Linked DNA regions of Notamacropus eugenii. The protein of the gene in region 1 purifies or fractionates together with the protein of each later gene. This does not show direct contact. Links are inferred from orthologs where the notes say so. Each region holds a gene or a part of one and is shown on either strand. Other genes may lie near its edges.

Region 1 (6,222 bases):
CAATTATTTAAACACCAGAAAGCCAAATCCATCATAGCAGTAAAGGAATCCATGCTCACTAACAATGCAGAGGACACCACCATCCCCAAGCCTTCCCTGTTAGGGCTTTCCCACAAACAAACACTCATTGCACGCTGCCTACTTCCTCTTTCTCCCTCAGCTCTTAACTGCTGTGTCTGCCTTCCTTTCAGCTCTATTCCACCCTTTTGGCAAGCTCCTCCTACCACAGACTCATGTGACTCAGGCTTCCATGTGACTCAAGCAGGTCAGATGAGCCTGTTTATGGATGGGAAAGATCTTCCCATTATGCATAAATACATTAAAAATACACTGTGATATCTAGCCCCACCCCCACCCCCCCGGAATACCATTCCACCTTACCCCACTTTTTAATTTCCTTGGCCTCCTTCAAGACTCAGTTCACATCCCACTTTCTGCCTTTTCTAGTGATGTCCCTTCATACTCCATTCTCCAGTTGCCAAGTGCTTTCTTCTCTGAACTTCACCTGGGCCCTCTCTGCTTACAGGCCTACAGTAGGCAGTCCTGCTGTACCTCCTTTATCAACTCACTGCCCCACTATTCACAGTAGGTTTTTCAAATTGGCTCGCATACCCTCTAATCCCTACTCTCTCAGCTGAGAACCTTGCCCATATTTTACTAAAAATTAAAAAAAAATTTAAAAAATGTCATTCACTATGAACTCTTCTCTCCACTTCCTCATCTATTATTATTTAGGTGTCATGCCACTTTTCTTTCACCTATCTTTCACCTATGATAAGACCTTACTCCTTCAAGGCTAACCCCTCTATTTGTTCAAGCAATCCCATTACATCCCATTTCCTCCAACAGATTGCCACCTCTGTCATCCCCATTCTTTGGCTTATTTTCCCTCTCTCCCTCTCTATTGGCTCATTTTCTTCTGCTTACAAACATGCTCATGTCTCCCTCATCCTGAAAAAACCCTCCCTTGGCCCTTCCATCACTGTATTCTGTATATTACATCCGTTTGTAGCTCAGCTCAAAGAAAAGACCATTTATAGTAAGTGCTCCTCTTTCCCCCCTCACTCTTTTCTTAACATCTTACAATCTGGCTTCTGATTTTTTTATTCCGCCAAAACTACTCTCTCCAAAGTTACTAATGATCTCTTACTTACTAAGTTCTTTGGCCATTTTTCAATGCTTATTCTCCTTGACCTCTCTGCAGCCTTTGACATGATCATTCTCTCTTCATGAAGACTCTTTTCTGTAGGTTGTCAAAACTCTACTCTCTCCTGGTTTTCCTCCTCCTTGCCTGATCACTCTCTATCTCATTTGCTGGATCCTACTCCAGATCACACCCTCTCCCCAAAAGTGTCCCACAGCAGGCTGCCCTGATTCCTCTTCTCTTCACCCTCTTTCACTTGGTGATCTGAGTAGCTCCCATGGATTTAATGACCATTTCTGTGCTGATAATTCTCAGACCTCTTTCCTGCCTCAGTCTCTCTGCTGACTTGGTTCAGCCTTACATCTCCAGCTGCCTTTCAGACATCTCAAACTAGATGTTCAGTAGACAACTTCATCTCATCATGTCCAACATCAAACTCATTATCTTCCCCTCTAAACCCTGCCCTCTTCCTACCTACCCTATTACTATAAAGGGCAACACTATCCTTCCAGTCCCTTAGGCTCTCAATTTAGGAGTCATCTGGATTTCTCATTATCTCTCAATCACCATTATCAAAGCTATTGGCAAAGCCTGTTGATTTCACCTTTTCAGTGTCTCTTGAATTTGCCCCCTTCTTTCTTCTTATCCTGCCTCTGTTCCAGTATAGGCCCTCTTCATCTCACACCTGGTCTCCCTGTTACAAGTCTGTCCATCTTCCCTTCAGGCACTAAGGTAATTTTCTTAAACTTAAAGTCACTTTATCCCCTCCCCCTCCTACTCAGTAAACTCCAGTGGCTTGCTGTTACTTCCAGGATTAAGTACCAGATGCTCTGTTTAGCATTCAGAATTCTTAATAAGCTAACCCCCTTCTACCTTTTCAGTTTTCTTATACCTTACTCTCTAACACATATTCTTCTATCCAGTGATACCAGCCTTCTGTTTATTCCACAAATAAGACACTCCATCTCTGGAATCCTGGCTTTTTCTCTGGCTGTCCTCCATGCCAGGAATGCTCTTCCTCTTTCACCACTCTGGCTGTTGACCTCCTTGGCTTCCTTTAAGTCCCAAGTAAAATCTCACCTTCTACAGGAAGCCTTCCCCACCCCTTCTTAATTCAATGCCTTCCCTCTGTTAATCATTTCCTATTTATCCTGTATACAGCTTGCTTTATAAATATTTTTTTTGTTTTTATATTCTCTCTCCCTTAAATTGTACGTTCTTTTGAGAGCGGGGGACTGTCTTTTGCCTCTTTTTTTATCCCTAGCACTTACCACGGTACCTGACACATTGTAGATGCTTAACAAATGTTTATAGATTGGTTAGTTGATTATCTACCCTGTATATATCTTGTGTTACCTGATTATTTACCTGTTGTCTGTTCCATTAGAATGTGAGCTTCTTGAGGGCAGGGAATATTTTTGCCCCCGTATTTGTTTCCACTGCTTAGCACAGTACACTTAATAATCATTTGTTGGCTGTATTATTACACTGCAAATTTATTGATAATCCCTGGTATTTGTATAATATCTTATATTTTTCAAAGTTCTTTTACGCATTGATCCTTGCAACATTTCTGAGCATTTAAAATAAAGAAAATGAAGTATGGAGAGCTTGCGATTTTTCTAGCCACATAATAATTCATTAGGTGAATGGAGATTACTGACTAGATTCAGCGTTCTTTTCACTATAAGCAATTATAGCTGTAATTTTCTGTCATTTTCAGAGTTGAATCATTTCAGCAGTAAAGAATCCAGCAGACCTCAATGTTTTGTGAAGTACTATTTTCATCTTTTGCTTGAGAGAATTCTGAAACTACCAAGTAGCTTTGACAAGTATTTGTGTGAGTGAATCCTTTGTGAAGGTTATACAGATAGATGTTTTCATGAAGAGAGGTGAAAAGCCGGAAGGGTATAGACAAATGAGGCCTAAGACCTTTCCTGCCAGTAACTACACTGGCAGTAGCAGGCAAATGTTGCAAGAAATACGGGAGTCTCTTAGGAATTTACCTAAACCATCAGATGCTGCAAAAGCTGAGCATAATATGAGCAAAATGACAACTGAAGATCCTCGACAAGGCCGAAATCCACCCAAATTTGTGACATATCATAAAGCTTTGCAAGAAATACGAAACTCTCTACTCCCATTTGCAAATGAAGCCAATTCATCCACCAGGAGTGCATCAGAAGTTAATCGACAAATGCTACAAGATATGCAAATTGCTGGATTTGATGAGGTAAGAACTTTTAATGACACTATAGAATATTTCATTTATTTAGACCCAAGATTTACTATAGGATAAGGATAGGCACTGGACCTGTGATTTCATTAATATGGAAAAATCCCAGATAGGAAAGACCTTATATCAATAAGGTTGGTATCTTCTCTGCAACTTACAGTCTTAGAGTTGCCTAGAGTGGAAGATGACAAAATACATTCCACATTCCAAATCTGGCCCAATTCCTATGCCAGTGGTTTACTGAGTCCTGGTCTAAAGCTTAGAGAAGTTAAGTGCCTGACCAGGGTTAAATAGCCATGATATTAGGGGCAGGATTCAAAGCTGGATTTGAGACCAGCTTTTACAAAATTAAGTATAGGTCATGCTAAATACTGATTTTTAGATTGCTTTGTTTTCTAAACACAGGCTCTACCACCAAGTAATAAAGAAGTGATTTGAATCTGAAGCACGAAAATTGGTTGAGATGTGTTGTATGTGTATACACACATTTTTTTATGTCACCTACAAAAATTTCTGGTAGTCCTAATACCATTTATTCATTTACATGAGCCTACCACCTTAGTGTCTAAGTACAATAAAAAAACCACAAAAATCACAACTTATTCTCCCTTTCCTGGAGTGGCCTGGGAATCCAAAGGACAGAGTCTGGAGTCAGAAATACTCAGTATAGTATTTTAGAGAGGAGAGTGAATCTGTAGGATGATGAGCTAGGTAACCAATATAGAAGTAGAAATAGCTGTCTCTATAGGGGAATGGCAGTGGGAAGGATGATGATATGTTCACTTCTAGAGGACTGTAGGTTTTCATTGATGGACAGCTTTCAGTCTTATCTATAAAAATAGTATAGCTAATTCAGATGTTATATAATACATTATTGTTAGTACTGAGAATCTCTTTTGTGTCTTTTCCTTGATAGACCTATTTATCTTTTGTTTAGGCTGTTAAATTTTCTTCTCTTTCCTAATAACACACTTTATAATTGGAAACTTTGGGGGTAAAATACAGAGGTTATATTGAGTTTGACCATAGATAGTCACTATCTGTCTAGATAATCTGTAATTAAATAGTCAAGAAGTGATTTTTCCTTTTAAAAACAAAATCATTAAGTATTGATTAATTGAGAAGAGGAAAAAAGATAGGAAAACAGCAATAATAGAAAGCTTGTAAAGTCTATAATGAAACTACAGAGGAAAAGTAGTTTATTCTACTTGCTATTTGTTCAGTTGTTATTGCTGTTTTGTAAACATTTCATACTTAATAGTTTTTGAAGTATTGAAGATTAAAACAAAAACTTAGATGTATATTTTCTTTGAATGAATTTTATGAATTAGGTAATTGATGTAATAGGCATCTCCAGAACAGTGCATTTTTAATTCCAGAATGATGGACTAAAGAAAAAAGCAATAAAAAGACTCTATTGATCTCAGGTTCTCCTTTGTGAGTATTGCTGGGAAAGAGAATGTATGTATAAAATCACATATCTGATCAGTCTTTAAAAAAAAATTTGACTAAAGTACATGGGGAAATAGATAACAAAACTAAATGGTTGAGGTCTACACTGTGCTACCCATTTCCAAACTCTGCTGATCTGACCAAAAAAGATAAGCCAGAAAGAAGTTAAGAAATGAATAGAATTTAAGAAAAATTAGATATCATAGATCTCTGGCAAAAATTACTGAGTAGGAATGAAAAAGATTATATGCATATCTCAGCTATATGTATATTTGATACACATATCAGCATATTCATTGTGTGTGTGTGTGTGTGTGTGTGTGTGTGTGTGTAGCAAAATTTTCCACATACTAGGCAACAGCTCAGCAAACTACAGCATGCAAGCCAAAGCCAACCTGCTAGTTGTTTTCATACCACCCTGGGCTAAGACTGGTTTTGTATTTTAAAATAAAGTTATTTAAGTATGTAAAAGTCATTTTAAGCAGGGGAAATTGGAGGAGGATGCAGATTTGGCGCTCTGTACGTAGTTTATCAACTCCTGGCTCACATATAAAAATCTCAAAGCAGTATGGAAAATTGTAAATATGAAATGCATGCGTTATGGACCATAACACAAAGGTCTTTGAAGAAAAGAGCCAAACGTAAATGATGTTAAATAATTTAATTCTTAAAAATTGATGAATCAGAGGACAAATAATAGAACTAATAGATACTTTTTCATCAAAGAAAGTGACTATAATGAGACAACATGCCAAAACTTTTGGGATGTTGCCAAAGCAATCCCTAGGGGAAAATTAATATCTCTGAACATTTTCATCAACCAAAGAGAGAAAGAACAGATCAGTAAAGTAGGCATACATTTTTTTAAAAATAGAAAAGCAACAAATCAAGAAACTTCAACTTAACACAAAAATTAGAATTTCTGAAAATCAAGTAAGAAATTAACAAAATTGGAATCAATAAATTCAGAGTTTATTAAAATCTAGGGATTTTTTGTGGGGGGAGATTTTTTTAAAAGGCAAAACATTAGCTGGTATGATTTTTTTTAAGAGAGGAAATCCACATTAATAAAAAATGAAAATGGAAGCTCCATAACAAATGAAGGAGAAATAAAAATATTAAAAACTATTTTGCTTATATGCCAACAAAACTCATAGCATAAATGAAATGGGTGGATATTAGCAAAAAAAAAATAGTCAAATTAACAGAACAAGAAATAGATAGTTTAAATGATCCAATCTTATGCAAGAATTGAACATACCATGAATGAACTCCAAAAGGGGGGAAAACATGACCAGATGGATTTACAAGTGAATTCTACCAAATGTTCAAAGAACAGTGCATTCAATATAATGTAAATTGTTTGCCCAAATAGGAAAAGAAGAAATGC
Region 2 (6,222 bases), on another chromosome or scaffold:
TTCTTTCCAACTCCTGCCCTCATACTAGGAGACTTCATCATATATATATTGACTTTCTCTCAAATATAGTAACACTGCAATTTCTCAATCCATTCATGTCCTACTCCTCCATCCCACATAAGCCACACACAAAAGATGGTCATACTCTTTATTTTACCATCAATCACAAATGAACCACCTCTGTGTTTATGAACTCTGAAATTCCCTTATCTGATTATATTCCATTGGCTTTCTACCCTTCCCTTTGCCTTCCATTACCAAACCAGGCTTTTTGTCCACACTGTGCTCTCCAACCACTCAGTTCTCTCTCAGACCATCACTTCTGCACTAGCCTCCTCTTTCCCAGTTCAACTCTATAATGTCCTCACCTCTTAAATGTCTTGTCCTCTTACCATAAGGCCAATTATGCCCAGCCAAGTCTCAGTCTTGTATCATTCCACACTCCCAGTGTGCATCATTATACAATTGCTGAACAAAGGAGAAAAATCACACAACTGTTCTGAGTCCACTACAAATTTGTTACCTAACTACATGTGTCCTCATTGCTGCTAGGCAATCACTCCATACTTTCCTATTTAATTCACTATTCCACTCTCAACAAATGTTCTTGCAAACCTCTTCTCCCCTCCTCCTCACCTTATAATACTCTGATACAAACTGCTACTATTTCCTCCTTCACCTGAAGCACGATGTGGCCCCTCTCCTTGCCAAGGCAAACCCGGATATCTGCATAAGTGGTTCCATTCCATTCTATCTCCTCCAGCGGTATGCCCCCTCTATCATGCCAATTCTCTCACTTAAATACAATCTCTGTCTACTGGCTACTTCCCTCTTGCCTGAAAAACATGGTTATGTCTTGATCTTCCATCTCCACTAATTCTCATCCAATATCTCTTTAGTCTTTTGTGATTAAACTTCTTAAGAAGGCCACATATAATAGATGCTTCCACTACCTTTCTTCTCACTATCTTCTTAACTTCACAATCTGGCATCTTCTAACTTCATTATTCCACCAAAATTGCTCTCATCAAAGTTAACAATGATGTTCTAACAGCCAAATACAATGGCCTTGTCCTAATCTTCAGACTTTTGGACCTCTCTGAAATCTCTGACACATTTGGTCATCCTCCATTCCTCAACACTCTCTTTGCTTTAGGTATTCAGGACACTGCTCTCTCCTGGTTCTCTTCCTACCTGCTCCTTCTCAGTCTTCTTGGATGGATCTTCATCCAGGGGAGTCCCAGTAACCTTAGGTATCCCACAGGGCTCTATTCTGTGCCCTCTTTTCTCTCTGTATTATTTTACTTAATAATCTCATCAGCTCCTATGAATTCTATTATCATCTTTAATGTTGATGATTCTCAGATCTCCTTATCCAATCCTAACCTCTCTGCTGAGCTCAGCTCCCATCTCCAAATGCCTACTGCACATATCTTAGAGACATCTTAAACTCAACATGTTCCAAACTGAACTCATTCTCCCCCCCTCCTCTGTGGTCCCAGCTAAAATCTCACTTTATACAAAATGTCTTTTCCAATCCCAATTAAATAAACTTAAAAGTTTATAAAGAGCTTAGTACAGTTTGGTCCTTAGTAGATGCTATATAAATGTTTATTCCCTTTCCCTTGCCTTCTCTGCCCCCTCCATCCCTCTTAATTCTAATCTCTTCTGTGATGATTTACTATTTATCCTCTATATAGCTTCTTTGTACATAATTGTTTGCATGTTATCTCCCCCAATAAATTGTGAGCTCCTTTACGGGCAGGAACTGTCAATGCCCAGTGCTTAGCACAGTGCCTGGCACACTGAAGGCATTTAAAAGGGGCTGCTAAATGGTGCAGTGAGTATAGCACTGGGCCTGAAGTTAGGAAGATCTCAGTTCAAATCTGGCCTGGGACACTTACTAGTTCTGTGATCCAGGACAAGTCATTTAACCCTGTTTGCCTGAGTTTCCTCACCTATAAAATGAGCTGGAAAGGAAATGGCAAACCACTTCACTGCCTTTGCCAAGAACACCCCAAATAGGGTCAAAAGGAGTCTGCTACAACTGAAGGACAACAGAAACAGGCACTTAGTAAATGTTTATTGAATGTCTCACTTTCATCATTGTACCCCCAGCACCTAATAGGCTACCTGCCACATAGTATATTAGCCCTCAATAAATGCTTTTCTATTTATTTACTTACACATTCTATGATCCAGCAAAACTGGCCTCCCTCCTGTTGTTCTATCACCTGTTTCTGTGCTTTTGCACTGTCCTCCCATGCTTCGAATTCCCTCTCTTCTATGCCTTAGAATCCCTAACTTCCTTCAAAAGTCAGCTCAAGTGCCACCTCTTTTATCATCCCTCCCCATCTGCTAATACCGTTCCTAAAAATTATATTTCTTATTTATGTTTATGCATACTGTTTCCCTATAGAACTTAAGTTCCTTGAAAGCATTTGCCAATTCATTTTTCTCTAGCACACAGCAGGCCTTTAATAAAGGCCTGCTGTTTCACCAGATGTCTAAAAGCTGGAACTGGTTTCCAAACACTTCAAATTTAAACTTTTAGATGGCTAACTCCCTGAAGAATCATAATTCACATTGTTACACTAAGTCTTTTATCGTAAGTGAAAACAATGCCAACATGGATACAGAGTAACATATAACGTGATACTCTGTCCTAAGGGCAAGATTTTGATATCTCATGTACTGTTTTTAGTTAATTGTTCGAAGGAGAAAACAAACCAAAGCAAAAGAAACCAAAAAATAAACATCATTAAAAATAGTGCCCTTGGAAGTAACCTAAGTCAAGGAGACACAGGTAAAGCAACCAGGCAAATCCCAGAGTTATAGGTATGAATTATATATGTGAATGTATAGATTTTGGCCAAAGCACGGGCTGACTGGTGCCTGGCACCCCTTCCCGCCAGCCCCAGGTCGCCCAAACCCAGCTCAGCCCTCATCCACACGCAGCTCCAAGCGCTCCTTCTCCACCCTCCCCGGCAGCGGGGCCAGCAGAAGCCAAGCCTTAAACTCCCGGGCTTCAGGCCCCGAAGGGAGCGCAGGGCCACGGCAGCCGGCCCTCCCTTCTCGGCGCCGCCGCCACGCCCCTGCCCCCTCTCGGCTCGCCAGGGACTCACTCCGCAGCAGTGGCGAGGTCTCCTTCTTTACGTACTTCCCCTGCACTTCGGCCGGTTTGGACACTTCGTTCTTCGTTTTCTTTCGCGACAACATCTCGCCGGCCCGGTCCGGGGCCCCCCGAAGCCTCGCAGGCGCCCAGCGAACTTTCCTAGAGCGGGCAGCCCCGGCCTCCGCCGCGCCAGGGGGCAGCGCCACAGCCCACTTCCCTTCCAGCCGCTAGCGAGCCGCAGTCGCCCGCCGCCCCAAAGCCCCGGCTCCTCCGCAGAGAATGCTGCATTTTACGGGGCTGCTAAGTGTGTCGGCCGCTCCGCACGCTCCCGTTCGACCCTTTCCGGAAGCTCGCCTGCTCCGCGGGGCCGCCCAGGGAAGCGCAAGCGAACGAGGCCAGAGCCATGATCCGCGGCGGCTCGGCCTGTGCCCGGGAACGAAATCGCGGCAGACTCCTGCGCCCGGGACCTTTCCTGTAGGCTGCAGGGGATTCTGGGGGATTGTACGCAGCACGTGCCCTCTTCCGCCCGTTCTCTAGCCGGGCACAAACAGCGCGGGGAGAGCTTAAAGGAGTAGCCAGGGGCGGCTCTTCTTAGTGAGTCCGGGGAGGAAGCCAGGAAAGAAGAGTACTTGAGGACAGGAAGGAAGACGGGGAAAGTCTTCATTAGATTCCATCTCAAGATCTGTAAGTTCGACCCTCCGGGGAAAAAAATGTTCAGCCCTAGCCCGACAAGGGCTTAAAAAGAGAAGGGGAGAAGGGAAGGAGAGGAGAGGATCAGTTTAAAATTGGTATTTGATAGGCAAAAGTCAAAATCATTCCCTTCCCAGCATACAAATGAAATAGAAAATAGGAAAAGGAAACATTTATTCTTAAAGAAAATATGGAAAAACAAAATCATATATCACAATTATATGAACAAAATATTAAACATAAACTTGAAAATTGCCACTCTTGAGCAGGTAAGAGTAACATCCAAGTTGTGGGCCTGGGTGACTAGGAAAATGGTGGTACACGCCAAAGGAATAGCATAGGAGGAGTGGAGGATATTTGTGGGAAAGATAATAATGCATCCAAGAGCCCAGGATGCAGTCTGACCAGTGAAATTCTTTTTACAAAGCTTTGTTGAAATATACAGTATTCTTAAAATCAATATGCTCAGTAAATTTAGGTCGTGTGGTTGTCCTATAAAAAGGTAATAGTTGTATGGACGGGACTCATTGATGACATGGATAGATTTCTCTAAAATCTGGCTTACCTCTCCAAGGAAGACTGAGTCCTACCTCAAGAGCAGAGAAGAGCCATGACTGAACTCTTGCTTCTTCTCTTGCCTGTTTCCAAGAGAAGTATCAAGCTATAAGTACATCTATCTGCCATCTCAAATATCAGTATTCTAGGTGTACAGGTTGTTGTTGTGTTCGTCTTTCGTTTTCCAAGAAGACCATGACATCAGAGAAATGATGATATGACTTGCGTTTGACTTTATTTTGAGTTTAGGAGGGCTGTGCAAGGTCACCAGCCTCACTTTCTCCTCCTCAGGTGTACAAGAATAGTTCTGAAGGAAAGCCAGGTCCCTGATTACTCTTAAAGATGAGAATAGCCCTCATTCAAAAAAGTGTAGTGCTGTCAAAAAAAAAATTTAACTTCATAATCTGTATTGTAGACACAAGTCTGCCAGAAACAATTTCACATAACTTTATATATAAGCATTTCCAGCTTAGAGAGAGAAATGTTCAAACTGAACTCATTCTTATGCCTCAGGACGTCTTTATGCTCCAAGATAATTTTCTGAAATATTTATAAGAATCTATAAGAACTGTTAAAGTAGTTTGGTATGACATTTCAGAACAATGGTCATGAATATTAGTTATTTAATCTTCGACTAGAACCACTCAATTCCTTCCTGAACTATTCCTCTCAAATTCTGAAAGGATCTTCTTTCTAAAATCGTAATCTTTTCTGAACAACAAGAGGTGCTTCTTTCTTACTGGAAAAGAGATTATTTCCCAAGGATGGGTCACCCACTACTCTAGTTATGATCTTAATAAGAGAAGAGGTACTCTGTTCAAAATTTGTTTTCCACTTTTAATCCAGTTTCCTGAATATTGACCTAACCCACCTTCCTAAGGTGACAAGTCTGGGAAGGATTTTTGAGACTGGAAAAATACATGTTTCTTCATATTTCTAGAGAAGATCAAAAGAAGGTTTCCACCTTTCCACCAAACACTGGTTAAACAAAGTAGCATCACAAATGAAGAATAGCAAGTAAAACCATTTCAAACAACTAAACAATCAAAGAAGTTACACACATTGGAATATATCAAAGAATGAACTCTTTAATAATAAGATAGCTCATAACAAGACAGAAAACTCAATATCAATTAACTGCTGTCCCCTTTTCCTTTTTCTTTCAATTCCATCAATTTCTTAAGGAAATTAATTCAGATTGTTTAGTGGAAGGTCAAATACTGAAGGTGAAGCTTAAATACTTTGGACACATGGAAAAGATTGAAAGCAAAAGGAAAAGGAGACTGCAAAGGAGGAGATGGATAGATGGTTCCATGGAAACAATTGAATGTGAACTTGGACAGATTTTGAAAGATACAGGAGGATGGAAGGGCTTGTAGTGCTATGACTGAACAACAATAGCACAGAATACTTGTTCAATCCCTGAAATCAGGACATACTGGTGAGCCAGACTCCCCTGTACGTTTACAGCTCCTCTATACATCTTGTCCAAGGATTGTCTGGAACCACAAGTCTTTTCCCAAAAAAAAGTACTGGCACCAGCTCTATATCTTGTTCAGGTACTCAACATCAAGTATTCTCTCCAACAACCTGAGTCAAATCTCCTGCATATTCATCAGTATGCAAAATGTCCCAGGCTTGGTTAGAAAACCAGATACACGAAAATTCAAGATATCATCTATTGGAATCCCTGATTTCCTTCAAGACAGCTGAGAAAATCTCAAAGGTCTGCAGAAAGTTGTTTCCCATCCAAGGTTACCTCACATCTGCTTTGTATGTATCTAGTTTCCCACCCACCTACATCCCATTAAGATGTCCATTTCTTTCCAACTTTCCTGACAGCTCCCTTTTCCTTCCGCCCC

What was found. Proteins that work in one complex are often made in the same cells at the same time.
Region 2: the proteins of LATS1 (region 1) and SAV1 purify together in Homo sapiens (affinity purification with western blotting; 3 studies listed by BioGRID). This does not show direct contact. The link is inferred for Notamacropus eugenii from reciprocal best matches to the Homo sapiens genes LATS1 and SAV1.

The regions. Positions count from the first base shown.
Region 1 is NC_092873.1:241,732,505-241,738,726, reverse strand, and holds the start of LATS1 (serine/threonine-protein kinase LATS1), read left to right. Parts: upstream 1-2,892; 5' UTR 2,893-3,026; coding exon 3,027-3,377; intron 3,378-6,222. UniProt on the Homo sapiens protein: Negative regulator of YAP1 in the Hippo signaling pathway that plays a pivotal role in organ size control and tumor suppression by restricting proliferation and promoting apoptosis.
Region 2 is NC_092872.1:308,773,502-308,779,723, forward strand, and holds the start of SAV1 (protein salvador homolog 1), read right to left. Parts: upstream 3,627-6,222; 5' UTR 3,220-3,626; coding exon 3,126-3,219; intron 1-3,125. UniProt on the Homo sapiens protein: Regulator of STK3/MST2 and STK4/MST1 in the Hippo signaling pathway which plays a pivotal role in organ size control and tumor suppression by restricting proliferation and promoting apoptosis.